Oryzias latipes: one gene and its partners. The main gene of each other region encodes a partner of the protein of the gene in region 5 in a complex. Links are inferred from orthologs where the notes say so. Each region holds a gene or a part of one and is shown on either strand. Other genes may lie near its edges.

Evidence for each region.
Region 1: snrpd1 (region 5) and snrnp40 share a complex: the UniProt entries of both Homo sapiens proteins name them as parts of the U4/U6-U5 tri-snRNP complex. The link is inferred for Oryzias latipes from reciprocal best matches to the Homo sapiens genes SNRPD1 and SNRNP40.
Region 2: snrpd1 (region 5) and gpkow share a complex: the UniProt entries of both Homo sapiens proteins name them as parts of the minor spliceosome. The link is inferred for Oryzias latipes from reciprocal best matches to the Homo sapiens genes SNRPD1 and GPKOW.
Region 3: snrpd1 (region 5) and cwc15 share a complex: the UniProt entries of both Homo sapiens proteins name them as parts of the minor spliceosome. The link is inferred for Oryzias latipes from reciprocal best matches to the Homo sapiens genes SNRPD1 and CWC15.
Region 4: snrpd1 (region 5) and gemin4 share a complex: the UniProt entries of both Homo sapiens proteins name them as parts of the SMN-Sm complex. The link is inferred for Oryzias latipes from reciprocal best matches to the Homo sapiens genes SNRPD1 and GEMIN4.
Region 6: snrpd1 (region 5) and usp39 share a complex: the UniProt entries of both Homo sapiens proteins name them as parts of the U4/U6-U5 tri-snRNP complex. The link is inferred for Oryzias latipes from reciprocal best matches to the Homo sapiens genes SNRPD1 and USP39.
Region 7: snrpd1 (region 5) and gemin2 share a complex: the UniProt entries of both Homo sapiens proteins name them as parts of the SMN-Sm complex. The link is inferred for Oryzias latipes from reciprocal best matches to the Homo sapiens genes SNRPD1 and GEMIN2.

What each region holds. Positions count from the first base shown.
Region 1 is NC_019869.2:21,982,921-21,987,006, reverse strand, and holds the start of snrnp40 (U5 small nuclear ribonucleoprotein 40 kDa protein), read left to right. Parts: upstream 1-1,286; 5' UTR 1,287-1,412; coding exon 1,413-1,523; intron 1,524-2,773; coding exon 2,774-2,903; intron 2,904-2,981; coding exon 2,982-3,075; intron 3,076-3,326; coding exon 3,327-3,492; intron 3,493-3,606; coding exon 3,607-3,729; intron 3,730-4,086. UniProt on the Homo sapiens protein: Required for pre-mRNA splicing as component of the activated spliceosome. Component of the U5 small nuclear ribonucleoprotein (snRNP) complex and the U4/U6-U5 tri-snRNP complex, building blocks of the spliceosome.
Region 2 is NC_019865.2:21,312,264-21,314,891, forward strand, and holds part of gpkow (G-patch domain and KOW motifs-containing protein), read left to right. Parts: intron 1-474; coding exon 475-581; intron 582-2,176; coding exon 2,177-2,381; intron 2,382-2,470; coding exon 2,471-2,603; intron 2,604-2,628. UniProt on the Homo sapiens protein: RNA-binding protein involved in pre-mRNA splicing. As a component of the minor spliceosome, involved in the splicing of U12-type introns in pre-mRNAs.
Region 3 is NC_019872.2:16,000,765-16,004,853, reverse strand, and holds the start of cwc15 (spliceosome-associated protein CWC15 homolog), read left to right. Parts: upstream 1-1,289; 5' UTR 1,290-1,389; intron 1,390-1,745; exon of another isoform or gene 1,746-1,748; 5' UTR 1,749-1,755; coding exon 1,756-1,886; intron 1,887-2,689; coding exon 2,690-2,802; intron 2,803-2,910; coding exon 2,911-3,011; intron 3,012-3,872; coding exon 3,873-3,983; intron 3,984-4,089. UniProt on the Homo sapiens protein: Involved in pre-mRNA splicing as component of the spliceosome. Component of the PRP19-CDC5L complex that forms an integral part of the spliceosome and is required for activating pre-mRNA splicing.
Region 4 is NC_019871.2:19,886,887-19,891,178, forward strand, and holds the start of gemin4 (gem-associated protein 4), read left to right. Parts: upstream 1-1,492; 5' UTR 1,493-1,563; coding exon 1,564-1,651; exon of another isoform or gene 1,652-1,703; coding exon of another isoform or gene 1,704-1,713; intron 1,714-2,425; coding exon 2,426-4,292. Other genes in the region: tapasin-related protein, read right to left, coding at 127-456, 539-814, 885-1,061, 1,168-1,213. UniProt on the Homo sapiens protein: The SMN complex catalyzes the assembly of small nuclear ribonucleoproteins (snRNPs), the building blocks of the spliceosome, and thereby plays an important role in the splicing of cellular pre-mRNAs.
Region 5 is NC_019869.2:22,965,507-22,969,548, reverse strand, and holds snrpd1 (small nuclear ribonucleoprotein Sm D1), read left to right. Parts: upstream 1-1,242; 5' UTR 1,243-1,374; coding exon 1,375-1,388; intron 1,389-2,792; coding exon 2,793-2,869; intron 2,870-2,944; coding exon 2,945-3,136; intron 3,137-3,342; coding exon 3,343-3,419; 3' UTR 3,420-3,991; downstream 3,992-4,042. UniProt on the Homo sapiens protein: Plays a role in pre-mRNA splicing as a core component of the spliceosomal U1, U2, U4 and U5 small nuclear ribonucleoproteins (snRNPs), the building blocks of the spliceosome.
Region 6 is NC_019867.2:12,332,968-12,337,025, forward strand, and holds the start of usp39 (U4/U6.U5 tri-snRNP-associated protein 2), read left to right. Parts: upstream 1-1,258; 5' UTR 1,259-1,373; coding exon 1,374-1,431; intron 1,432-1,742; coding exon 1,743-1,821; intron 1,822-1,897; coding exon 1,898-1,992; intron 1,993-2,079; coding exon 2,080-2,216; intron 2,217-2,747; coding exon 2,748-2,900; intron 2,901-2,985; coding exon 2,986-3,211; intron 3,212-3,806; coding exon 3,807-3,881; intron 3,882-4,056; coding exon 4,057-4,058. Other genes in the region: c9h2orf68 (UPF0561 protein C2orf68 homolog), read right to left, coding at 1-27, 826-935.
Region 7 is NC_019880.2:19,643,435-19,647,398, reverse strand, and holds the start of gemin2 (gem-associated protein 2), read left to right. Parts: upstream 1-1,164; 5' UTR 1,165-1,296; coding exon 1,297-1,418; intron 1,419-2,322; exon of another isoform or gene 2,323-2,337; coding exon 2,338-2,422; intron 2,423-2,551; coding exon 2,552-2,641; intron 2,642-2,725; coding exon 2,726-2,785; intron 2,786-2,866; coding exon 2,867-2,983; intron 2,984-3,964. Other genes in the region: transport and Golgi organization protein 1 homolog, read right to left, coding at 346-479, 622-742. UniProt on the Homo sapiens protein: The SMN complex catalyzes the assembly of small nuclear ribonucleoproteins (snRNPs), the building blocks of the spliceosome, and thereby plays an important role in the splicing of cellular pre-mRNAs.

The DNA of each region.
Region 1 (4,086 bases), about 980 kb from region 5:
CAAACTACTCTAGTTTTGAGATTTTGGTACCCACAAGTGAGGAGGTGCTCTGCCACAGTCATAAGTACCTGTTTAGAATCGGTATGTGCCAACTTTATACCAGTACTGTTTCCCAAAACCAAGTAGTTGCATTGTCTGGTACAAGCTGAAGCTGGTATACAAACTGGAGACCAGGTTTTTTATGTAACTAGAGATGATAACAGTAAAGTGAGTTTTCAGAGAAAACCCCTGGATGTTTCCTCAATCAGTCAGCACTAAGGTGGCATACATTGCCTTGTACAGATCTGCGGTCAGGGCTGCACTGTGACAAAGTGGTTAGCGCTTTACTCTAAATCTGTGCATGCGTGGGTTTTCTCCAGGAGATCCGGCTTCCTCCCACCATCCAAAAACATGCGAGTGGCCGGGTAAGGCTCTGACAGCCCCATGACCCCGAAAGGGACAAAACGGGTTTACAAAATGGATAGATTTGCCATCAGTGTTTATGCCCAGACAATTCAGAGAGCAGAGACCTTGAGGTGAAAACTTGCAATCCCTTTATCTTCGTGGTTTCCGACCAAACTCTTCCCTTTAAGACAACTTACTGCCTCTCTTAGATTTCTACATAATTTGGGAGAGGAAATGAAACAGCAATCTTCTTTCATCCAATTCACCAAACGAAAGTCATAAAAGAAAATGAATTAATTTCAAAGGTAATGTGGTTGACAGAAAGAGTTCGGTAAATTTTTAACCTCTGCTGTGCTGTTCACTTCTTGCAAATAAAGAATGACCTTGTGCCTTTTGGGATATTTATTTGTACAAATATGTGGTTGAAAATGAAAATTGTCATTCGTGTCATTTTAAACTACGATGAAGCCAACCTGTCGCAATAAAGCATTAACTTCCCGGTACCAAAGAAATATAATTACTAATTTTATTTATGTAAAAATTAGCTCAAAGTTGTTGTTTTTTAATAATCGAGCGAACAAAAAATCTAAGTTGACAACAAGACAAGTCAGCAATGAATTTGGTTAGCTTATAATTTCGTCCTCTTACGGTTTGTACCGTCAGTTCAAAGACAAAAGCTCAGACATGAACAGTATAGGCGTTTGTCGTGGTAGAACGATAAGGAAAATCACGCAAAAAGTATCTTAAGTCTTGAAAAAAGGATGAAAATATTACCTTTCGTGTGGTTAGCTGAACTCAGATTGTTGTACTTCCGGTGCATTGTCGCTGACAACGTCTTCATCAGCCAATCACAGCAGGAGATGGATGTTTAAACCAATCACACAGCTCATACTCACCGGAAACACTTCATCCTGATTTCTTCGTTGGTGCTACGCTTTTCTCGTTTCCCATGAAGGCGCAAATAGTCATTCGGTAAACCGTAGTCACAAACAAACTTATTTTTGTCGATTATTTGCAATTATTTCGGGATGATTGAACCAAAGAAAAGAGCGGGAGACATGGCGGTAATTCCCACCGCTGTGAAGCGAGCCCGGAACGAGCTGGTGGCGGCGGCACAGTCCCAGCAACTCGTGGCTACGGTACGAAAAGAATCAACGTTCACACAAAAAAACTCAAATTAGAGAAAATATATACACACGGGTGTTGACCCGCATTTGTATTATGCATGCTTTAAATGATGTAATCTAAAATTTACTCAAACACGACATTTTTTGTGGTGCACCTATTATTTCTTGACGTAGAGAACACATGACAACGAATAACAACACGAGTTTTCGCTAGGATATTTAATTTTTGGATGTAATGTTGCTTCTTTAAAATACGTATTATATTCGAAATCCCGTTGTTATCAACAAACTGATGGTAAAGGAACCTTTCCCAGTTATGGGTGTTTCCGGGGTGAACCGTGAACAGGTTACAAATCCTAGGCTAATGTTATGATAGAAAATTAAAAAATGTTATTTTTTTTATTAAGCATGAGTTTTGTGTATTTAAACCTTTTCCAGTTTGTAGATGTTTTTCTGTAAGTAGATATTTTGATTATTGAGACAAAACTATAGGATATTTAACAGGATAGATACTAAATCTTTTTTTTCTATTGTAAAAAATAAATAGCTTTTAAACACTGGGGTTTCATTTTAGCAATCATCTTTTGATGTTGCAAAAATCTGCATGACATATCACCTGCAACAGTCACATTCACAGTCACCCATGCACACACACATTCACACACTGATGGCGGTTTCGCTCTCTTACTGGCGCCAAACTATAACCACCAGAAGCAATGTGGGGTTCAGTGTCCTGCCCAAGGACATTTCCACACATGGGTGGGCAAGGCGGGAACCTAACCTGCGATATTCATGATCAGGTGGACCGCTCTGCCTCTGCACCACAAGCCCCTGCATGGAAAGTGTGCCACCATAGGGTGCAGAGGCAGAGCGGTCCACCTGATCACAAATATCGCAGGTTAGGTTCCCGCCTTGCCCACCCATTTGTGGAACCTAACCTGCGATATTTGTGATCAGGTGGACCGCTCTGCCTCTGCACCACAAGCCCCTGCATGGAAAGTGTGCCACCATAGGGTGGCAAGATCCTTTGTGTCACATGATCAATTTGATCCTTTACAAATGATCCATTTCCTCACTGGTCTGCTGCAGATTTGCATTAAACTTTGTGGACTTTACTCTGAAGCGTTCTGTGGCACATTAAGCCCAAACGCACTTTTATTTATCTGTCTTTTATCACATGCCTGTTTTCTTTTTAGATTTCACTTGGACTAAATCTGGAAGAAAAAAACAGAAAGTAAATTAAACTGACCTTTCTCCTCCAGGGTCCTCCTCGGACCTCCAGCCTGCAAGCTCCCATCATGCTGATGTCGGGCCACGAGGGCGAGGTGTACTGCTGCAAATTTCATCCAAATGGAGCCACGCTGGCGTCTTCTGGCTTCGACCGACTCATATGTAAGCAAAAAGAGGCAAGCTGCCGTTCTCCCGGCCTTCTTCTGTTGCTTTGTTCCTCACTTACTTCCTTTACCTCAGTTCTGTGGAACGTTTTTGGGGAGTGTGAAAATTACGCCACCCTGAAGGGCCACAGTGGAGCTGTGATGGAGCTGCATTACAACACAGATGGCAGGTAGGAAGAAAGCTGTAGATTTTATCTTTAAACTTCACCTTTAAATTGACATTTTTCTTGTTTTAGGTTATGTTTACAGTGAAAGTAAAGCTCATATTCTCATTGTTTCTTAGTCTTAGTTTGATTTCAAAAACTAAGGAACTTTATGGAACAAAAAAAATGTTCATCTGTAAATTTTAGGACTTGGAACTATCTACATTTCTTAAATAACCTTTCCATAAAATTTGACTGGATCATTTTTGTGCCTCCAGCTTGTTATTTTCGGCAAGCACAGACAAGACCGTGGGCATTTGGGACAGTGAAACAGGGGAGAGGATTAAGCGCCTGAAAGGTCACACTTCCTTTGTTAACACCTGCTACCCAGCTCGCCGGGGGCCACAACTGGTCTGCACCGGCAGCGATGATGGGACGATAAAGGTGTGACATTTTTATTTTAGGTGCAGTTATTTATTCTGAATGCTTCAACTGTTGAGGTCCCATTCAAAGTTTTTAAATGTTGCTTTATTGTATTTTTGTTAATCGTCACTGCAGTTGTGGGACATCCGTAAAAAGGCGGCAATTCACACCTTCCAGAACACCTACCAAGTTTTGGCCGTGACGTTTAATGACACCAGCGACCAAATCCTGTCTGGAGGCATCGACAATGACATCAAGGTATTTGGATTGTTCTAAAAAAAACAACAACCAGCAGAGTGTCCTTGGTTTTGTTTTGTAAGATTAACAGGAAGTCTGAAATCTCAGCTGCTACGTGGCTCTACTGTAGATGGCAAGAAAAAAGTTTGACATTTTATAAAAACTCAGTGTTTAAGGTAAAAACTTTCTGACATTTTGAAAGAAAAAAGAAATCAGTGATTTAGTTGTTTTCAATCCGTTTTAAATAACACATTTTATTAGTCTGCCATAAAGCTTAAATCAACGTTTTATCATGTGTTTGCCTTCATTTAAATGCACCAAATAATCTGATTCTACTTAGATAAAGACTAACATGTGAAAAAAAAAATTTCGGTTTCA
Region 2 (2,628 bases), on a different chromosome or scaffold from region 5:
GACTTTGTCCGGGCAGGCCTCTGTGGGAGACTGGCAACGCTGCTTTATCTGCCCCCACCCAGATACACGCAGGCAGCCAGTCAGATCTCCTTCTGCTTCCTTTAATCAGAGGCCTGGCACGTCTCTTCACTGTCATCCCATGTCTTGCTCCATCGTGTGAGCGGCAGATCATGGGGGTCATGAGCCCCGCAGCTCTTTTTTAATGCGGCCTCCTGAATGAGAGAGATCTCCCAGTCAATCTGTGAGGAAAGCCTTGAGTGGGGACAGCGATGAGTGGGAGCGCTGCAGAGATCGGCGCGGCTTCAGTCAGCCGGCGTCGAGTCCCCGAAACCAAAAGGCTGAGTGACACGGACGTTACAGCCTGCCTCCCTCCATCAGCCGCCATCTTTAAACCTTGAGCAGTACACAAACCTCCCATTTAGATCTTCCTTGCTCGTTATTTTGGTAAACATTTCCAGCTTTGTTGTTTTTAAGTCTACAGAGGCAGACTATGAAAGCGTTCCAGTGGAGGCTTACGGACTGGCCATGCTCAAAGGGATGGGTTGGAAGAAAAGTGAAGGCATTGGGCGCACCTTTAAACAGTAAGTGACGGCTGGCTTTACCCCCTGATCTAACATAGACTTTCGGAATGATGTCATTCGTAGATTATTTTATCTTAATTTATGACTAAAAGTGATTTGAATACCACATGTTCTCATTCTTTCTCAGTTCAAAGCTTTTATAGATCAATGGAGAACATCACATCCTTCCTAGTGTTTAAGGAAGTCCTGTTCTCCCAGTTTTTCCTCATTATCCAGCAAAATTCCATAATCTAGACCAGGGGTCAGTGACATTGATGACATGAAGTGCCAATGTGAACTCTTCTCCGTAACAACGGTGCCATCACCAACTCTAGTACAAAGAAACACAAAAAGATCTCCAAAATATCTGAAATGTTGTTTAATGCACAAACAGCAGGTTAAATTGCTTTTTAAACATATTTTTGGCATTAACCCAAAAAAGTGCTTTTACCCAAGGACTCGCACTGGATAAAGCTCATCGCTCCCTCTGGGAATCGAACATGTCCCAGTCCTGCACCTAACTAGCCCATCGAACCAGCCTTCATACATGTAAAAAGAAAAAAACACTTACAATTTTTAAGTAGAAATACAATTAATTAAAATGTATGCATACATTTGATTGGAAAACGAGTTATTTCAAGAAAAAAAAGATCTCTTTGTTGATTTATTGAGATGCTCATATCATTTTACCCGTGGTTAGTCTGCCTGTAGCGCGTCTGTCTTGAACTATTTGAACAGAGAAATGCTTTGAAACATTTGACGCATGCAGAATGTTGTTTTAACTCAGAATTCTCTTAAAATGATCGTTTTGGTGACTGCTCGGAGAACCTTATCTTCATCATATTTTGACATCTTGCTGGCTCAGCAGGTTACACATCCCCACGCGTTTGCACCAATGCAAACTTTAAGCCGTGTGCTAAAAATAAGTAGGTCGGCCGAGCTTCCCCGTAAGCTGTTAAGCTGGACCAATGTGGTGTTAGATGTTTGCAAAGATAGCCGGAGGAGACATTATTTGTTAATTGGGTCGTCACTTCCTCTCATTGTTTGGGATTTCGGGTGTTTTCATTGAGTCGCTCCTCACGCCCGCCGGAGCTGGGGAGGAGACGGAGAACACGGAGGTTTCAAAGCAGAACTTTGTGGAAGGAGGAAAAGTGAGCTGCTGTACGTTTCTGGGCTTCAGCATTCAAGCATCCGTTTCTGCTCAGCTCCTCAGCAGCTTCTAGTTAGAGTTAGACACTTTTCTTCATGCAAAGTGATACGATATTTTTCCTTGACTTGATAACATTTTGACTTTCCCAGCGGGCCCAAGAAATGTCTTTGACCTTTTTGGAATGTCTGAAGCTTTTTAGCAAAATGAGAAGAAGGAAGAAAAAAACTACTAAATTGTTGATACACTTTTTGCCTTCTGTAATAAATTGGATATCAGATGCAACGTATGAAATTACAATAAGAAAGACAACAGAAAGCAAGTTTTAACATGATCAAATCTTCGGCTTGCTGCATCATATAGTTGAGTTTAATTTTGTCATCAAACCTCAGGTTTTTGATTCAGTTTTTCATCTGTTTAACCTTCAGTCTGTTGTTGATCGAAGGCTGATTTTCTCTGTCTGCTTCAGAGACGTGAAGCCAATCGAACACCAGCTCCGCCCGAAAGGCCTGGGCCTCGGAGCGGATCGCTCGGCCATAAAAGATCTGGAACCCAACCGGAATCAGCGTCCGCCGAAACCCGGAGACGAGCCGGGAAAGGAGGAGGAGCTAGTGATGGGTCCTGGAGGTTGTGTGCTGGTGGAGTCTGGAGCACACAAAGATCTCTATGGCAAGGTGGAGTTCAGCATTCCACGTCACTGCCACCCTTAAGCAATTATGTTTTTCCTTTACACCAACCGCTCTGACTTTCCCTGACGCGGCAGATTGAAGGCGTCGATGCAGACAACGCTCGAGTGGTTGTGAAGCTCGCCGTCGGGGGCAAGACTGTGACACTCAGCCAACACGGCGTGAGACTGGTCGGACGAAAAGAATACGACAAATACAGCAAAGACATCAGTGAGTGTCCTTTCTCAGCTGCATG
Region 3 (4,089 bases), on a different chromosome or scaffold from region 5:
GATCCAAATGGAACTCTGGTATGAACACCTCTTGCATTTGTTAGAGTAAGCATGCTGAGGTCAGAACATAGCTGGCTCTTCCAGCATAGCAATCATTCCAAACACACTAAAAATGAAGCTTTTTTTTTTTAACAAAAAGTTGGTAAAATGTCTGCAAACAGGTGCAGAATTCTAATTGAAAGGCACAGAAAACAAAATATGAAGTTTAAGTTACCAATACTTTGTCCAGTCATTTCACTAGTTAATTATTGTACAAAAATTCCAGAGTTATGCCTGATTTTCATTAAATTATTTATAAATTGATTAATACTTTTGTCATTTCTCAGACATTTCTTAAAACATTGGAGGGGAGGGACAAGTTTGGTGCAATCCAAATATTGTTCAGTATTAAGGGGAAAAGGGGCAAATCATGTTCTCTCTTCTCCCTTTCATTTAAGAGTGTATTTTTGAGCCTAAGAGGTGTTTTAGATTTGTATTTTCACAATTATGTATTGATATATCTTTGGAAAAGAATAAAATAAACTCATCAAACTTAAACAGCAAACACTGAACAAATATAAACCAGTGTTTCTGTAGTTGAAGTTAAAGCCAAAGGCAGCAAAGAGTCCAACGGCACAAATCCAGAGAAACATCCTTTTAAAGAGGAAGGCATATTATCTGAGAAGAACATCTCAAAACCTAAGGATGAAGACTCATCAGGTCTAAAATGGAAAAAGACAGGAATTTTACATCTGTTACAAGTGTTTCAATTATGTTTAATAGAATCTACGTATCAAGACTGTTAAATAAAGTTAAAAATAATGTGTTCAATTTGGAATAAACTATATTTAAAAATCATGTTGTGATGTTAATGTTCACTTTGAGTGGAGAAATTAAGCTACAGGAAGACACTGAACCTGATGCACATTGCCCCATGGTGGCCACGTAAAATGTTTTGCAAACCCTAATCGCACATTTCTACAGTAATTCTACCGGTTACTTCAAAAGAAGAGACAAGATGACTCCTCGTAAACACTTCCTTGTTTACACCAGTGCTCAAAGGTTTTATATGTTTTTCATTTTAAATGTGAGTGTTGGTTTGCTGAAATCAGTAATAGACATTTTTGGCTGTAATGCTTTAGAATTCAACCATGTACCCTGGAATATCACCACAGCATTTTGAAAAAGAAAGGTGTAACAAAGCATTTTTGTGCTAATTCTTTCTCCTTTGGTACAATATAGTAATTTCTTTACGATAAATATCAGATTACATTTGAAATGAGTAATGCATTTTCCAATTCTTTTTAAACGCACCAACAGAATCGTATTCTTGACGCATGCGCAACAGCAATTTCAATCCGGAAGTGACGTTCTATGGTATCCTCTTTCCGCTAGCCGTGTAGTGGAATCGTGAGTATTTTTTCCAAGTCAAAGACGTTTTTTTACAGATGTTTTTTTGTTAAAACGGTATAAATATGATAAATGTAGCCATACATCTCGTTTGATTAGTGTGCAGTGAATCTTAAAACAAATAAGTTTTCTAAAGAGCCCAAAATGAGTTTTTTGTCTTGTCTGAGTGTTAGCATAATCAAATTTGGTGGCTAGTAATACCCTTTATAAGTATTAAAGTCTGTTTAATCGATAAATGTATGTATATGTTTTGTTATATACAACTGATGTTACCTTGTTTGTTCTGCGTTTAAAGTACAGTAGCTAACTGAAAATAACTGTACTCATGTTTGACAAATACCGTGTTGTTGTTGAAGCAGGTTAGGGATGACTACCGCAGCAAGACCAACGTTTGAGCCGGCGAGAGGAGGGAGAGGAAAAGGAGAAGGCGATCTGAGTGCCTTGTCCAAGCAATATTCCAGCCGAGATCTTCCAGGTCACACCAAGATCAAATACAGGTGGTTTTTAGTTCCTATTAAACTCTGCTGCGACAGCTCAGTTGAAAAAGAAAGCGATTGTTTGAAAGAAACATATTTAATCATGTTAAGATTCTCGAAGATTCAATCTGAATTATTTGGGAAATGGTCAAACCGGATTGATTAAATTAGTCTTTTTGTGCTATAATTATTAAAAAGTGGAACATAAATCTACACTTGATTAAATGTCTACATGTATAATGTGTTGGGTACAATTAAGCTAACCTCACGTTGGAGCATCACATGAATCAGTTTATGACATGGGGGGGGGGGGGGGCATGTGTGCATTTTCTTGTCTATTTAGTGTCTCTCCATGACCCTTAAGAAAATGTTAAATAATTTGCTCACAAATATCTTGCATCTAATAAGTCATTGCTCAGTATTAAAATGGTTATCAACTAAATTGTATAACCATAAAGCTTTTGTACATTTGGAGTACATCATTTAGTATTGATAATTCTTGATGGTTTGTTTGCTGCAGGTTATGTTTAAATTGTAGCTACAGTGTGTAGGAGGGGTGGTTTGCATTTACCAATTGTGCAAGTTCTACAAAAAATATTTTTACAATTTTCGCTATATATTTTTTTTTAATATGCATTCAATCTCTCACAGTTGTAGTGTATATGATGGAATCATAGACCTCTCATCTTTTTAAATTAGACAATTTGCTAAATATGTTACTGAGAAATACTTTTTCCCCCAACTGTACATGTTACTATTTATCTCATGAGTGGTTTTTGGAGTTTGTAGTGGGACTTAGTCTTGAAAATGCTATGATCCCTTAGACAGCCCACTCAGGATGCCCCCGAGGAGGTGCGTGCCCGTGATTTCCGTAGGGAACTGGAGGAGAAGGAGCGTGTAGCAGCACGTGAGAAGACCAGAGAGAGGGGACCAAGAGGTTAGTCTCTATCAAAATTTTAGACTTACTGTTTTTGACACACAAGTATAAACCAAGCAAAGTATGTATTTTTCTGTAAATGCAGTCTTTACATTTTTTTCTCTCCAGAACACACTACATCCTCTTCATCATCTTCATCATCATCAAAGAGGCCCAGGTTGGATCAGATTCCAGCTGCTAACCTTGATGCTGATGACCCTCTCACTGATGTAAGTGTCTGCACTGATATAATAAAGAAAACATTTCATCAGTACACCTACGGCTGGGAGATGAGACCTTTTCTCGCTGTTGCACTTGACATGATCTGAATAGATATTGATATTTTAGTGCTATAAAACTTTCTCTTTAAAGACTGTAAATATTAAAATTAGCAATAAAATGCCTGGATTGACTTAATTGGGGAAAAATCACTGTAAAGTTGACTTTTAACAAACAATTTCTTTTGTACAACTTCTCTGCTTTGGACACATTAAACTTGAAACATCCCAGATGGTTCATTTGTGGTTAATTTTAGCTGATCAGACCACCTAAAAGAACAATTGTGGGTAAACTTAAAACTTAGTTTTTTCATTCAAGAAAAAAAATGTACACAAAATTTAAAAAGTGTGGCAAACAAACTTGATTTAAATATGACCGTTGTTCCTCCTCTGGAAAAATTGAGCAGACTGGGGCTCTCCAAATGCCAGGCTGGTGTATTTAAAGGCTAAACTCCCTGCATTGCCTCTTATGGTCGGTCCCACAGTACAGCTCCTGAAGCTGAACCTCATCCACATCTACAGCTACCAGCAACACATCCAGCACTGGTACCTCCAACAAGGTGGCATTAGTTAAACTGATAACTGTAGCTGACTTAAAAGTGTCCAAGTGTGCACACTACAAATAAAGACTGATGTACTCTCTTGTAAATGTCTTTTATTGAGAATACGTCTGAAAATGTCAACTTATTTAAAAGTCATTAAACAGTGGAAAAGAACGTCAGCAGTGCATGGGGGCTGTCACCATTCTGCCATAGTTGTGCTGCATGAGGCCATTGCAGCCTTAATCCTCTCTAAAATCCTTCCTCTTCACAGGATGACGAGGATGAGAACTCTGATGAAGATAGTGATGATGACGACACTGCAGCTCTGTTGGCTGAGCTTGAGAAGATAAAGAAGGAGCGAGCCGAAGAGCAAGAACGCAAAGTAAAACATTTGATCCATTTTGTTTTGGTACCTCTGTGTTTACAGTCAGCAGCATGACTTTGTTCAAACACAATGTTTTAATAATCAAGGAAAAATATGATTCTTG
Region 4 (4,292 bases), on a different chromosome or scaffold from region 5:
TCTTCTAGCCTTAAGAGGCTGAAGAAGAGGAACAGATGTTTTCAGCTGGATCACCAACACTGTAGCAGTGCGACCGCTGATGGTAAAAGAAGAGGACAGATTACAGGTTTTAGATCATCTCCTCACCCTCGACGTGCAGGTTGAGCTCCATGTTGGCGAAAAGCGGGTTCACAGTCAAAGAACAAATGTAGCTTCCTTCGCTGCTCATCTTGGTGAAGGGGAGAGTGTAGGAGGCATCTCCCCCAGCCAGGGCCTTCTTCCCAACTCCAGAGCCATGAATCTCCCCGGAGCGGCTGTTGTAGCGGAAGAGCATCCTTCTCTCTCCGCGGGACTGCCAGTGCCACTCCACGGTGACGTTTGGGCCTCGGTGGTCGATGCTGAACTGACAGTGGAGTTTGGGCTGCGAGCGTAGTCTGACTTTCACAGATGGAGTCTCTGTTTTCAGCAACATGGCGACTATGGACACAAATAGGATGAACCCTCTTACAGGCCTTCGTTCTGACATGCAGAAGCAGCGTCAGATGAAGGGGACACCTACCTGTGGTGGTAAGAACCTCTCGGTCGGCGATGGGCGGCCAGCTGCGGTAGTCCTGCTGTCCTGGAGGAGGTTGGTCAGACGGATGTCTGAGGAAAGCAGTGACGCTGAACTTGTCCTTTCTGTGTCTGAGGATGCAGGTGTACCAGCGGTTGTACCCCTCTGCCCCCAGGGCGGGCCAGCGGACATGGATGCCCTCTGTGCTGTACCGTCGGACCTCACACTCCAACTCCTCTACCTCCACCCCTTCAATGGACCGCTGCAGGTCCAGTTTTGAAACTAAAGCAACATAAAAAGTCATGAATGTAATTCTTTCCTGCCCCGATTCGTGTCTTGGACAGAAGCTCACCAGTGATCAGGAAGGTGATGGCGTGGGGATTGACAGGAGCGTCTCCTTTTAGACCAAACTGAACCATAGCCTCTCTGGGAATGAGCTGTGTCTCAATGTGTCCTTCACTGTTGTTGGACACATGTTCGTCAGTGAACTGACATGACAGCCATGGTATCTGCTGAACGCTCCTCACAACTGAGAACACAGAAAAACTAACATTAAACACACCCTTCATTTAAATTTAGTTCCTTTCATGAACTAACTGATAGAACAGCTGCAAACATACTTTAAAATAACTTACCTCCAATCACATAAAAGTAAATAACAACTTTCTGAAATACTCCCATTTTGATTATTCAATTGAATTTCTTGGTTCACCTTGTTTCTACCAGCAGCCAGGATCTAAAAAGTACTTTCATTTTCACTTCTGCAGAAAAAAAACGATTTGCCTTTAGCTCGCGTCACATGACCTACAAGATTAAAACCATAACAAAAAAAAAACATTTTTATATATATTCATAAACACAATAACAAATGAAATGACGTTTAAATCTGATGTAAAATATTTAAATCTCGCTCCGAAGAAAAACGTTAAAACTGCAGTACCGAATTTATCCGGGTGCGTCGCTGTGAACAAACATCCGGTATATGCGTCGCATGGCGGAAGCGTGTTTGCGGCTGCGCAGTTCTGCTGTGGATGTTTTTAGTTGGATTATGTTGTTTCAGAAATCTAACTTTAAACTTCGGAAACCGTGAACGTAACGGCGCGTTTAGAGAGTTTCCAGGTAAACGGATTACACTGGTATTTACCTGCACGCAACAATTATCACGGTGATAATGGACAAAGGTAAAATAGCTTTTATTTTTACTCTCTCTGTAGACCAGTTAAGTCACTGACTTTAAGTTAAAATAAATTCTTACAAAAGAAAATATTATTTAATAAAGAAAAGCAATGTTTTTTAATTTAAATTGTTTTTCCAACACACGACGCATTCATACCGATTTACACACGCGGTGAACCGCTTTGAATTGTGGGAAACTGAGTTTGGTGTGGTAAAATGAATGACATATGGATCCCCTGAAGGGATTTGGCAAAAGGTGAATAACAACAAGATCTACACTGATCCTGACATAAAGACGAACGCACACAAACACTCACACATTAAACACAATAAAAACTATATGGCTCTGTCCATGAAAACTGAGTTATTTATTGGAGATCATATCTGAAAGTTGAGAAGAAGCTTTGGTGTTTTTATCTGTGGATACGGTGGCCCTGAAGTTCAAATCACATCCACAAATTACTGTTTTAAAACATCACACAGCAGTCCTGGAATGCAAAAACAAAATTGTTTTTGCAATTCTTGTTTCTTACTGCATATTTGAATGAAAACTTGACACCCCACCCCACCCCCCGCTTTAATTTTGTTTAGATTTATCAAATGTAACGTTTTCTTGTTATTTTATTGCTTTTGTTGTTGTTATCTTTAAGATGTCTTTACATTGATATGATGATGTGATTGGCACTTCAGGGCTCTGATTATGTCATGTGATTTCAGGCTCTGCGGTTCTGCAGGGGGCTTTCCTGCTGGCAGACAAACTGTGTCGCCCCTCATTTCTATCCTGCGTGAACAAATCCGACTGGATCGCGGCGGGACGCCCGATCCTACAGGCTCTGCAGGAAGTCTGTGAACTGGAGGAAGCTGACGGTCATCACAGCTCGACCTGGACGAAGAAGGTGGTCTGTGCTGTGTGGCTGAAGCTCTTGAGCGCTGAGGAGGATGTTGAGAGAGCGTGGAGGGAGAACCCCTTTTTTTCCTTCCAGCAGAGCCTCCCTGAAGTTAACCATGTTGTCCTGTTGGAGTTGGTGAAGAACGCTGCTGCTTCACATGTTTACGCAGGTTTTCTCCTTCATCTTCCTGAAGATTTGATCTGCTTGGAGCTGAAGAGGCTGGTAGAGCATGTGAAGAGCGAGCCTACAAGCGAAGAGGATGTTCATTTCTTTCTAGAGATGTGGCGGGAGCTGTGGAAAGGCCAAGAGCAAGCCAAGCTCAGAAACGACGAGAGCATGGAGATGATGTTTGCCAAGCAGGTTGCTCGTCTCACCTCCATGTCTTCTAGTTTGTCTCCTCAGGCTGCCAAGAGGTTAAAGCTGGAGACACAAGACTCAGCAGAGGCTGATGTTTTCCACATTCTCCTCAATGCCCTCAAAGACATGGCAGATCACGTCTCCTCATTAGACCTGTGCTTCCAGTCTCTCTCCATGTCCCTTGATGCTCTTTTTACATCATTTCTGATAGACCGAGAAGTTGTTCTATCAGCTCAGGAGAAGATGGACATCCTGTGTAAAGCCATCAGTACTAAAGGAAAGAATGAAAAACTTCAACCTGAACTTGTTGAAGAAGCTCAGAGACATTTACGGGCTTCGATTTCCCCGTCTCAGTTCAAAGTCAGGAGGATGGATCTGGGTGAAGCTCTGAGGGTCATAGCAGAACTTAGTCAGTCTTGGAAAGACCGAGGACTCTTGGACGTCCAGGACGGCTCTCGCTCCTCCTACTCTGCTTTCCAGCTGGAGCAAAGTGTCCAGAGAGTCTCCACTGCTCTGGAAGAAGCTCCCACAGCAGCGACAGAGAAGAACCTGCTCGTGGCTGTGCTGAAGTCTCTGGTTCTTCCTGTCACAGAGAGCAGCCCTGAGGTGCATGCTCAGGTGCTCTCCACCATCATCACTCACCGCCTGGAAGACCACGAGAGCTTCGCTGCCTTGTTTGCCAGAGAGCCGCCCTGGACGCACTGTGATGAAGGCTGGATGGATTGCCTGGAGAGGAGCCAAGCTTCCTTCCGTCAGCATGACGCCGTGATCGGCCTCTCCTCTACTCTAATGAACAAACTACGCATGGAGAATGCAGACGTCAGCCAGTGCAGAAAGCTGATGAAAATCATAGCAGATATCTTCTCCAGCCTTTCCTTAGAAGACATGAACAAAGCCTTGGTGTCCATGTTAAGATTGTCTAGGAAGGGCTTCTTCGAATTCCCCGTTCCTCCTGAGGTGGCTGGAGGGTTTGAGCAGGAGCTCAACATGGCCTTCAACTGCATCATCCAAGCAGGAAGTGGAGCGTCCTCAGCTGTTCCTCAAGGGAACCTGACCACGGCCGTCTCACTCGTAGCCAGAGTGGCTTTTCAGAACCCAGAAGGCGCCTTACGGTCCTGCTGCCACTCAGCTGTTTTCAATAAAGGAGCATTTTCGATGATGGCAAAGATCCTGCAGCATCTGCCTGGACTCAGCGGTCAGAGAGGAGGAGATGGAGATGGAAGGAGGAGCGGAGAGGAGAACACGGCTAAAGACGGGACCTCTAGTCTGCTCTGCAGGTGCCTACACCAGACGGTCAAGGACAAGTCCCTGTCAGCCAACGAGAAGGAACAGTTTGC
Region 5 (4,042 bases):
TCTTTTTTATTATACAGCATTTATTATCCCTGAATGGGAAGTTTGTATTTTTGTTTTTTTGCAGTCGTGCTACACTCATCAGGCAGCATGCAGAGGACATGTTTGGGGGTTTTTCAGCATTTTCACGTTTGGACTGATGGTGAATGTTGTGGTGGCATTTGTTCTCCACACTGTTTGATTAAATCCTCCCTCCACAAATACCTTCTTTTTTCTTTTTTTTTAAATACAACAATTTGCACTTTCTTTAGGTTTCACTTGATACATTCCCAGCTTGTCTCAATAAATAAAAAGTATTGCTGTTTGGCCAAAACTCTAAATGAAATATCAATGCAAAGTTTACTCTCAATAAAAAGATCTGAAAGTTTGCTCCTTTGTTCTTTTTGTCTTCTTTCCTAGATCAATGGTTCCCAGCTTTTTGTGTATTTTGTAAGGATGTAAAGGATACAGTTACGTATTGAAAATTGATCAAGTACTGGAAGTAACAGCTCTATCAATCGATAACCTTAAATACGAGCAAGTTGGTGAAAAGGTAAAAAAATGAAATCAATCAGGAAGTAAATCGTTATTTTTTTTTCTTTTCTGTCTTTACTGTCTTTGCCTTTTTATGTACATGTGATGCCAACATGAAGACACCCAATCACAAAGCCTACTTCTACCAAATCGGGTCAATTATGATTGGCTGAATGTGAACCACAGTGTGCTGTGTTCTCTTTTTTCACGGTACTGCAAACAATGCCTGAATAAATTCCTATGACAATTTTTTGATCATAAATAAAAACAGAACAGTATTCGTAGTTGAAGCAGTTCTCTCAGAGATGTTTTGTTTTTGTTGCTTCAAAAAAAGGGCCAATAAGAACAAAATTTAAGAAAAAAGTTTCTCTGTTAAATGGCATTTCCATTAATAATTTTAAATGCCAAATACATAAATAGAAATCTATGAATAAATGACTGGTACTTTATTTTTTAGCACCATACAATGGCATCAGGGTGCCAAAGGGCTTACATTAACATAACATTTAAAATTGAGTAGATTGAGAGGGGAAAAAAACAGCATTAGATGGAAAAAACAATAAAACACATAGAAAAACAGTTAATAATTAAAGTAATTGGTAAGTAATTAAATAAAGACAGTAAAGGAATATTAGATGCCACCAACCCAATGAGTAAGAGAAAACAACTCATTTTTGTCTTTCCACTGACTGTTCTTCATCTCACCACCAGGCGGCGGTAAGACAACATTGACGGTGAGCGGTGGCCTCTTTCTGACGTCATATCAACGCGACACAAACGTTGGTGGTACATCAGCGGCCTGTGATTTCACTCGATCGCTGTAATTTTTCTCGTCGGTGGAGGATCTTTTCTCTACTGTTCGTCATGAAACTAGTCAGGTAATTTGCTGCATGGTCTGTAGATGTGTCGACTGGTTTAAGATAGGATGATGAAATAAAGGCTGTGTGGCCGGATGGGTTCAGATAGACAAATGAACTGTGTGGAGAGGCGGGAACAAGGCTGCTGGGTTTTCATTCAAAAAATACATATAAACATATCATTAGAGCTAACTATTTAATCAAGGATTAAACTGCTTGTTTTAGCAATATTTGTAAAAGATCGAGGCTGATTCGTTATCATTTATGGTTTTGCAAATTTCCCCCCGCATTATTAAAACTATCGTACTAAAGGAGGTTAATTTATTAGATGTTGTTTCCGTTTCCTCAAAGTGCTTTATCATTATTTAATTGTATTTATTTTTGGATGTTTTTAATTTCCACAACTTAAGAGACAAATGTTTTGTTTTCAGTTTACACAACAGTATCAATCCACCGAAGCTAACAAGCTAAGAGCTAACACGAGTTTTGTTTAGATACTAAAAAAAAAATACATTCAAAAAGGGGGGGGGGGGTATTTTGTACAATTTTATACGTTAAATCTTATGTGTTGTACAAAAATGCTGTCTAATGTTTGTGAGAGAGAGACGTCTTCTTTGTGCAAAGCAGTAAGTTGGCTAATTGATCATTCAAGATGGATCTAGTCATTAAAGTCTTCTACAGCAATGGTGCCAACCTTCTAATAAAGCGGTTTTTTATTGTATTTAATTTATCAAAATATTTTTATGATTAACAGAAAACGTTACCAACAATTATTTCTAACAAAAAGTCCGCATAAATGTTCATACAAAACATTAAAAAATGTGAATCTGAAAATGGAGTTTAAAGTCTTCCATTTTATCCAGTATGTATGGGATCAAATGCAGTTTTTGTATGAAATGGTGCATATCACAGTATGTTTATTTCCCTCGTTTTTTTTATGTTTGACATTTTGTTTATTTCATTTGTATTTTGTGAATATGAACAGACATAAAAATGATGCTTTTAATTTGTTAAAGTCCACCAATCAATTATTGATTAACATTTTCCTGTTCTAGTTCTGCTTAAAGGTCAGCATGTTATTAGTGTATTTTTTTTCATGGTATTGTCACTTTAAAACATTGACGTTTAAATGAAAGTGCCTTTTGGATTCAGAAAACCAAAATGAATGTGCCAATTCTAGGTTTTTGAAAAATACACTTTTGAGTAAGAATAAAACACGTGAACCTTTTTTGTTTCATGTGGGATGACAATAAATCATGTTTTTTTTTTTTTTGCGAAAATGATTCTTTCCCTGAAGTGTAGATACATTATACTGGTACTGCTTTTTGATTACAAAATGGTATGTTTGGTAAAGTATAGTGCAGTAAAACAACTCTTAAAGGTTAAGTAAATGTAAATGTATGCTACTCTCCCGTGTCCACACAGGTTTTTGATGAAGCTCAGTCATGAGACCGTTACCATTGAACTGAAGAATGGCACTCAGGTCCATGGCACCATCACAGGTGAGAGCAAACACTTTAGAGACGAATAAATGAACTAAATCATTTTTAAAATCCTCTTCTTCTTCTTTTTAATAGGTGTTGATGTAAGCATGAACACACACTTGAAGGCGGTGAAAATGACCCTAAAGAACAGGGAACCCACTCAGCTGGAGTCCCTGAGTATCCGAGGCAACAACATTCGCTACTTCATCCTGCCAGACAGTCTTCCACTGGACACCTTGCTGGTCGACATTGAACCAAAGATCAAGTCCAAGAAGAGAGAAGCAGGTGGGAGATTTGGGCACATTCTTACCTGGAAAATTGTATTAAGTTGAGAAGGATTTTTCTGCGATAAGAAATCCCTCAACAGTATTTATATTCATCATGGGTGTGTAAATCTGCTGTTTATTTCTTTGAGAAATGTTTTGTTCTGCTGATTAAAACTTTTTTTTTTCACGAGTATGGTGAAAGAATCTGGCCTTTCTTGTTCTCAGTTGCTGGTAGGGGGCGAGGCAGAGGACGGGGCCGTGGCAGAGGAAGAGGACGAGGGCGAGGTGGACCACGGAGATGATTTCAGAGCCCCAACTGTTTGTACAGCTTTTAATTGTACTGCGCGGTGGACGCAAAGTGAATCTAAGTGTAAGTTTAGGGTTGTTTTTCTTTTTTATACTCGTGGGTTGTTTAAGACCGCGAGGGGGTTTTGGATGCTGTTGATTCATAATTTGTACCATCTTGAATAAAATGTCTGAGCAGCATTTAAACTGGGTAAAAATGTCATCTGTTTTTTGCTTTTTTTATACCTTCTTGTGTCTTTGGCAAAGTTGGCTGAAAATGTAGCTGTTCTACTGGCATCAAAGAAGAATAAATCTTTTTTTTTCTCTTTGTAATATTTGGCTCTTTAATTGGCTTGATTAGTTTTCACTTTTCCTATAAGTGATTGAAATAGGTTGATAAGGTTTTTTTTCACAGTTTCTGGAACTGATTACATCTCAACTTATTGTTGATGATGTTCCAGATACTGCTGATCCACCTCTGGTGGATGGTGTGGATGTTGATGACTGCAAATGTAAAAACCTTTTGTCCAATACTTAGATGGGCTGGCTCTTAACCCACATAAGTTTCCAATAAAATAAAGAAAATCCACTTTGAATTTTGACATCATTGTAAAAACTTATGTTTGTTATTGAAGATCTC
Region 6 (4,058 bases), on a different chromosome or scaffold from region 5:
TGCTTCACTTCTTTATCATAGTCATCTCTTATAAAGAAATTGAAATATTTTCTGATTATTTCTTAAAAACATAGCAAGTTGCACAGTTGAATAAAACACAGAGCATCTTGGTCATGGCCATGAACTTAAAAATGTTCCTAGGTCTGTTTACACATTGGAGGATAATACTTTTTTTAAAATTTTATTATTTTAAGGCAAAACAGCTTTGTTTTTCATACATCAAAGCAATTTAAAGAGCCGCACAACAAAGCAACATTATTATTGCTGTTCTTTTAGCTTTATAGTTCATCTTTCAAAGTTGCCTAAATAAAATCAACATGTTAAAAATCCGTTTTAAATGATTAAATAAAGAGTGAGAGTGTGGGAATTAAAACAAACTTTTTTGTTTGGACGTAAATCAAAATACTTATCATACATTATTGTAGCAGCTTTTTTTAAGACCAGACAGAGAGCAGATGCTGTAAAACAGCCCAACTCAGCGTATGTAATTTATCAAGGAGGAACTTTAAAAGTTTTACACACCAAACCTAAGTTTATATAATAATCCACTTTTAAATAATAAATTACACTAATAAAACATAAACCGAATAACTTAATGCTCCTTTTAAAATTTCAGTCAGTCCAATAGGGTTTTGCTTCTACTGCTTTAAAGTAAAAATAAACTTGACTTTAAGCCTTTTAGGTACTTTAAAAAAATGTTATTTCACTGTCTGCCATTTTTAAAAAAATCATTTCACATCAATCATGAAATGACAGCAGCTACAGATTGACATTTGACATCCCAAGTAAGTATGCTAACTCGGCTAACAGCAAAAAGGAAATCACCTGGCAATCTGGTTCCTCCGAATATGATGAAGGAAACCGTGGCTCATGTCCAGACGGCCCCCCGGTTTGTACTTCAGCTCATGCACTCCTTCATCTCTTATAAGATCCATTTCAGCAAACACTCTAGAAAGAAAACACAGCTAAAGAAGAACAAGCAAAATACTAACAAAAAGCTAGACAGCTAACGATGTATAAATGGATGTCCAACCGTAGCGTTCCCGGAGTTTCTACAAATTAATTTATTGCGTGTAAGTCCTACAATGCACATTGAACTAAAATATAAACTATTTTGGTTATATTTCTGTGACAAAAAAAGAAACTGAAGTATACAAATAAATAAAATATATTACTTAGAGTTTACATGGGGGTAAACATTTATTTTTTAAACTCCGGGTTACGTTTTGGTTTCCCACGCCATTACCACCGACGTACAACCACCGCGAGTTTCGAGGAGCTGAATAATATCCATTCATTTCCTCTCGTAAACCTTCAAGTTTTGTTAATTTTTGTTTCGTTAGCAAACCGTTTGCTAACTTATAGTTACAAGAATGTCTTTAAAGCGTGAAAGGGAGGAAATAGAAGACGACGAGGATAACGAAGACGAAGGTATGCTGATTTGTCTCTTACGTCCGTTTTTCGTTTTGTTAGCCAGCCAGAAGAGCATTTTCTAGCATAAAAAGTTTATATTGTGTCAGTTCCATTCTACACCAATAAACTGATGGTTTCACATGTAAGACAAAGACAATCAGCATATAAAAATATATGTAAAACCTGTTTATTTTAAAACAGAGATCGATTAATAGAAAAATCTTAGCTTGCTAGCAAGCATGTTTTGATTGCTAGTAGTTAGTTGTTCTCGTAAAAATGAATTCCGTTTACGTCTACTGAGCTTTATCGTGATTTGCTCTCTTTTGCAGTGACAGTCAAATTTAGGCGAGGACGTGTGGTTGAAGACCGAAGAAGCCGCCATTGTCCTTACCTGGACACCATAAACAGGCAAGGAAATGTTTGAAAATGTATGCTAAAGCTAGTTAGCATTCTTCTTGTAATTCAGTTTCTTCTCGTCTTGCAGGAGTGTTCTGGATTTTGACTTTGAGAAGCTCTGCTCCATTTCTCTGTCTCACATTAATGTTTATGCCTGTCTTATTTGTGGGAAATACTTTCAAGGTAGACATATTAGCACATCAAACGCACATTGTTATTTTCCTTTTTAGATGACACTAAACATCTTTACGTTTGCATTCCTTGTTGCAGGCAGAGGTCAGAAGTCTCATGCCTACACTCACAGTGTCCAGTTTTCTCACCATGTGTTCCTCAACTTGCACACACTCAAGTTTTACTGTCTGCCAGACAACTATGAGATCATTGACTCATCGCTAGAAGACATCACAGTAAGTAATGCAGTAAATCTGCTGTTTTTCAATGTATAAATGAAAAGGTAATTGCTCTGGGGGGAAAAGTAAACAGTTACATGTTAAAATTAAACAAAGTTTTTTGTTTTTCTTCTAGATATGATTGATAGATTCTTTTGCTCACATTCCTTGTTTGTCAGTGTAACACTTCAATAGTTTTCATTAACATATTCTGTGTTTAAAAATAGTTTTAACTTGTGAACCCAGAGTACATAAAAATGTGTTCGATATTTATATATTTTATACAAGGCCAATGTATTTGATTGCATAGTATATTTTATTTACTATATTTTGCACATAAGTATCAGTACTAGTATCTAAAAATAAGTTATTTAGCAATGTCTTAAAGTATACTTTTTAGAGTTTTGGCTGTAATTTTAATACGTCTTTTTTTTTTACATTTCTTTTTTAAATTTTTAATGTTTTATGTTAAGTAATTTTTACCCCTCCTTTTTTTATTTTTTGTAAGCTCTTGCTTTGTGTTGGTAATCTTGCTCTTTTTTTCTTTAGTATGTGCTGAAGCCGACTTTCACCAAGCAGCACATTGAGGGTCTGGACAAACATGGTAAACTGTACAGAGCCTACGATGGTACAACCTACCTGCCAGGGATTGTAGGGCTTAATAACATTAAAGCCAACGACTATGCCAATGCTGTACTACAGGTATGAAACCCCGCTGATGTTGATTTTTGAGGCTGTGGCATCAACTTAAATAACAGGGGGTTTCATATTGTACTTTTGTTTTTAGGCTTTTTCCAACGTCCCACCTTTGCGAAACTACTTCCTTGAGGAGGAGAACTACAGAGACATCCGGAGGCCACCAGGGGACATCATGTTTCTGCTGGTGCAGCGGTTTGGGGAGCTGATGCGCAAACTTTGGAATCCGAGAAACTTCAAGGCCCACGTGTCGCCCCACGAGATGCTGCAGGCTGTAGTCCTGTGCAGCAAGAAAAACTTCCAAATCACCAAACAAGGTAACTATTTTGTGGCCTGTGGAGTGCTGACATAAATAGGGCCATGTAGGCTGAGATTTTGGGCAAAAACCTCATTCCATCAATGAGAGCACTAAAGATGAAACATGGCTGGATCTTCCAACATGACTGATCCCAAAAACATAACTCTGGCATCAAAGAGAATCTGTGGAGGGAGTTTAAAGTATGTTTCTCAGCAAAAGCCTCAAAACATTACAGCTCTGCATGGAAGAATGGTCCAGAATAATAGCTATAGTGTTTGTAAACCTGCTTAAGACCTATGTTTGACCTTTGTCATAGATAATCATGGTTACATTACAAACTATTGAGGTGAACTTTTGTTGTTGACCAAATTCTTATTTTCTGCACTATTATACAAATACATTCTCTAAAAATCTGACAATGTGATTTCCTGGATAATTTATTGGACATTTTATCTCTCAGTTGAAGTATATCTATGGTAAACATTACAGACCAAACTCAGCTTTTTGAGCGGGACAACTTGCAGAGTCAGTGGCTGCCAAATACTTTTTTGCCCCACAATCTTTAACTCACTGGATAAGTTTGTAGAGTTTGCTCAATGTTTTCTGGTTTGCAGGTGATGCTGTGGACTTCATGACATGGTTCCTAAACGCCATGCATGGCGCTCTTGGAGGCACAAAGAAGAAGCCATGTGAGTCAGAAATTCACTCCTAGTTTATAGTAAATCTGTTGAATTTCTGAATTCATTTATTTGATGTGTAATTTTCTCTTTTATTCCAATGTAAGGAGTCTATTTTAGAGCCAGTGCTGGTTGTCTGCATGCAATGTCCTTCAATTTAACTGGTCTGCTCTTTGTTTTCACACAGCA
Region 7 (3,964 bases), on a different chromosome or scaffold from region 5:
TCAAAATCTAATTCATATTTAACAGGTCAAAAACACAAAAATTAGATTAGATTCAATATTATTGTCATTGCGTGAGTACAAGAACAGGCATCAAAATATTAAATTCTAACAGAATTTTCAAATTAGTTTAAACATGACTATATTTAAACATTCAAAATAAAACTCTTCCATCCAACGGTTAAATGAAAGTCAAAGATGTCAGCATCCCAAATAAACACTAAGGCTTTTTGTATAATAAGGAATATTGTTTTGTTCAACCAAAGACCTTGGATAAGGGACAATTTACATTAAGGTTTCATGATAAGGAGGCGACAGAGATATAAAAGAGATGAAAATTGGACATACACTGCCTGCCCACAGATCCTCCCTCTTTCCTGTAAGTTTGTGGTAGACAAAAATGATATCTCCACGTCTGAAGCTTAGAAAACGGCAGTCGTTACTCTTGTGGTCCCTTATGGCCTGAACCCTGCTCATTAGGCCTACACACACAAACACAAGTGATCAGTTGCATTAAAATGATTAAAATGTCTTTAATAAACCAACTAAGCTAAATTCATGCATAAAATATAACAGTATTTTTTAGGAACTTCAAACTATTTTGACACAAGTGTTTGGACTTACTTTCACACTCAGAATCTCCACAGATCTTGTAGTCGGATAACATTCCTGGATTTATAAGAGGCAAAATCACAAACGTTAGACCCACAATCCAACAGAATTTATGTAGCAGGGAAACATCCATTTTGGGTGCTTTAGCTGGAGTGTATCATAGAAAAAGTCCCATATTTGAGAAGAAATCCCTTTGACCTGCTGTTCAGGAAAGTGGACATTGACTCTGTGCTGTTTCTCTCATGAAACCTCACTAGTGGTAAACGAAAGAATGGAGATAAGATATAACGCTAGCATGAAGCTAATAATTAACAACGTTGCTCGTAACCTGATTGCAGAACAAAACAATTTAGCTCTAATGTCAAAAGTTTATTTTTTTCATTCACCAACTTGATTTGAAATTTTTTTATTTATTAAACAGCTTCTGCGGTTGAATTGAGGTATAATAAACGTGTTTAAATGCGCAACATAAAATGCTCGTGGACTTCGTTCCTTGTCGCTGCCAAAGTTTCAGGCGCTGTCACGTCACTATGGAAACAAATCTCGCCTCGCGCACAAAATTGGCGTCATCAAATCTAGTTTGAAAAACAAAATGGCGCTTGTTGGACAACAGTAAATACTAGCATCTGCCTAGTCTTCGTTTTAATGTCCTGATTTCGCTTAAGAGTTTTACATTATTAGCGGAAAATGAAGTCGGATGTTGAGGAGTTAATGCCAAGGCTGCTTCCGGTGGAGTTAGGACAAGACACCGAGCACGTAGACCTCAGCGGTCCACCGAGGAACCCCCAGGAGTACTTGCGACAGGTCCAGTAAGTTCTCCCTTCTGTTCTCATTAAAGTGGAAAGCCAGTGTTTTCATAATTAAAATGCTTTAGAATAGCAAAGCATTGGTATAAAAAAAATTGTATAAAACCAAAGTTCCTATTTACAGTCTATGTATCGAACCGTGGAATTAGCTCTCCACTTAGTATATTTAAGTGTTTCTGTTGTTTCTTTTCAACAAACTTTATTATCAATACTTATTGTATTAACTGAATAGAATAATATAGGTAAAAGAAAACACTACACAGGTTGCACAACACGTGCCACCTGTACTTTAATAATCAGTCCAGTCCAATTATTTTTGAACATAGAATATAAGTAAATAAAATATAATATGCCGTTTCTTTAAAATATCAAATGTTCTTGTCGCCTTCAATATGGACTGCTTATATGTATGAATGAGGAATGTCCCAAAAATAATGAACAGTTCAGTAACAAAACTTACCTTTTTGGGCAAACCATGTAATTAAAAATATAATATGACATTAAAAAAAGAATTCAGAGAGTTATATTAAATTTTGTGGTTATAAATTCACGCAGATCCGACCAAAATTGCTTGGTGTACATAGAAAGAATAAATAAATGAAAATTGTCTCCTTACTTGATTGGCAAAAAACAAAATTGTTCTGTTTATTTTAAATCTTCTTAGTGTATCTTTAACTGGGTAGAAAGCAAAATAAAACCTATTTTATTTTAATATTAATACAGTATTTATGAACAGAAGTATTAGTCTTTTCCCAATTTAAATCACCCATGGTTGAATACCAAAAAGATTTAGCAGCAAGAAATTCAACTTCTTCTAATAAAAAGATTATTGATTTCAACATCTGTGAATGACTCGTTTTAGAAATTGAAGAGAAGATATTAGCTGTGTTTCCCAGTGACCCCTCACCTCCTTGTGATGTAGGTTGGAAGCGTCCATGTGTCCAGAGGTGGTGGTTGCTCAAATTGACCCTAAGAAACTAAAGAAGAAGCAAACAGTCCATGTATCTGTAAGTGAAAATCTATTTATTTGGTCAAATCTTTATTTGTTAAGGCTTTGTCTGTGTGGTGAGGTCATGTATAGTTGACTCTGCAGCCAAGAGACATGATAATCTGGAAAACCATATTTTCTGTCTCAGGTAGCTGGGTGCCACGCTCCCCCAGTAGGTTTCTCCCCCAGCCTTCACTGGCAACAACAACAAGTCAGTAATTTTTCTGACGTGAGACGGGTAAGAAAAACTAAAAGAACAGTGTGTTGCTTTTATATCTCACTTATATTTCTGCTTATAATGTCTAATTTTTTAATTTACTAGAGCATCACCAAGAATAGAAAACATTGGAGCAGCCAGACTCTGGATAATAATGTACGCATGGTAAGATGTCAAATCCCGCTGCAATGTTAGCAAAGGTCAAAGGTGCTCATTTGCATAATATTTAAGTGTGATCTTTTACAGCCAAACCTTACAGATGAGGAGGGCTGGAAGAAGTTTTGTTTAGGAGAGAGGATCTACTTGGGCGCATCAGCCTGCCCCACAGATGCAAAACCAGAGGCAGAACTGGACTATAGCAAGGTTGTCAACTAAACTGTTGTTAGAATTTTTAAACGCCAAAGTTTTGAAACAAAAAGTTTCAAATAAGACTTTTTTTCTTTTTTGTTAACTTGTTCTGTCCAACAGCTGAGCAAACAGATCAGAGCTGAAGGCCTCTTGTGTTTGAGAGATTTTACTGTTACAATAGGGGGTCATGAATCTTCTGACACACAAGGGGTATATTTATTTAAACTCTTCTGTATTTGAGGGTAAACTTTATTTATATTGATTATGTTTGTATACCTGTTTTGAAAAGGGAAAAGGGGGGGGGGGTTAAAGGAAGTTGGAGCATGATCAAAGAAGTAGAGTGGGGGTAGATTCAGAATCATAAAGCAAAAAGTTGCTGGAGGTTTATCATTATTACTGTCAGATTAAGGCATTAGTCAAAAGGAGCTAACAGGTATGTTACAAACATACCTGTGTGAAATCTTCACATTCCATATGTCAACACATACACGATACAACTACAGCTCACACAAAAATACTTATGCATACATAAAGAGAGAGGAGCCAAGAAAGCACACCAACTTGACCGAGGCAGTTTGACCAGCCAGGGCTCTCCATGATTGTCTCATTGCTGACCCCAACCCTCTGTAGTCCCATCCTGATGGAGGACCCCCTTCCCAGAGGACAGAGCCAACCAGTCTACCAGCCCCCCCCCCCCCCCCCCCCCCCCCCCCCCCCCCCAGATCCTGCAGCCATGGCAGGTGTCACCCAGAGCAACTGCAAACCCCAAGAGGGTTGCCCCACCCCGTCCCAGGACCAGAAGAGTGCAGAGGTGCAGGCCCAGGGTCTCCTGCACCTGGGCCTGCACCTCCTCCTCCTGTCCTAACCCCCCCTGAAAAGACCACTCCCCAAGCCAAGCCAGACCCCCTCAACCGCACCGACCAAACTCTCCCAAGACCATGCAGTACCCCCACCTGCCCACTTCCAGGCGCCCAACCAGGTCCCCCTAACTAACGA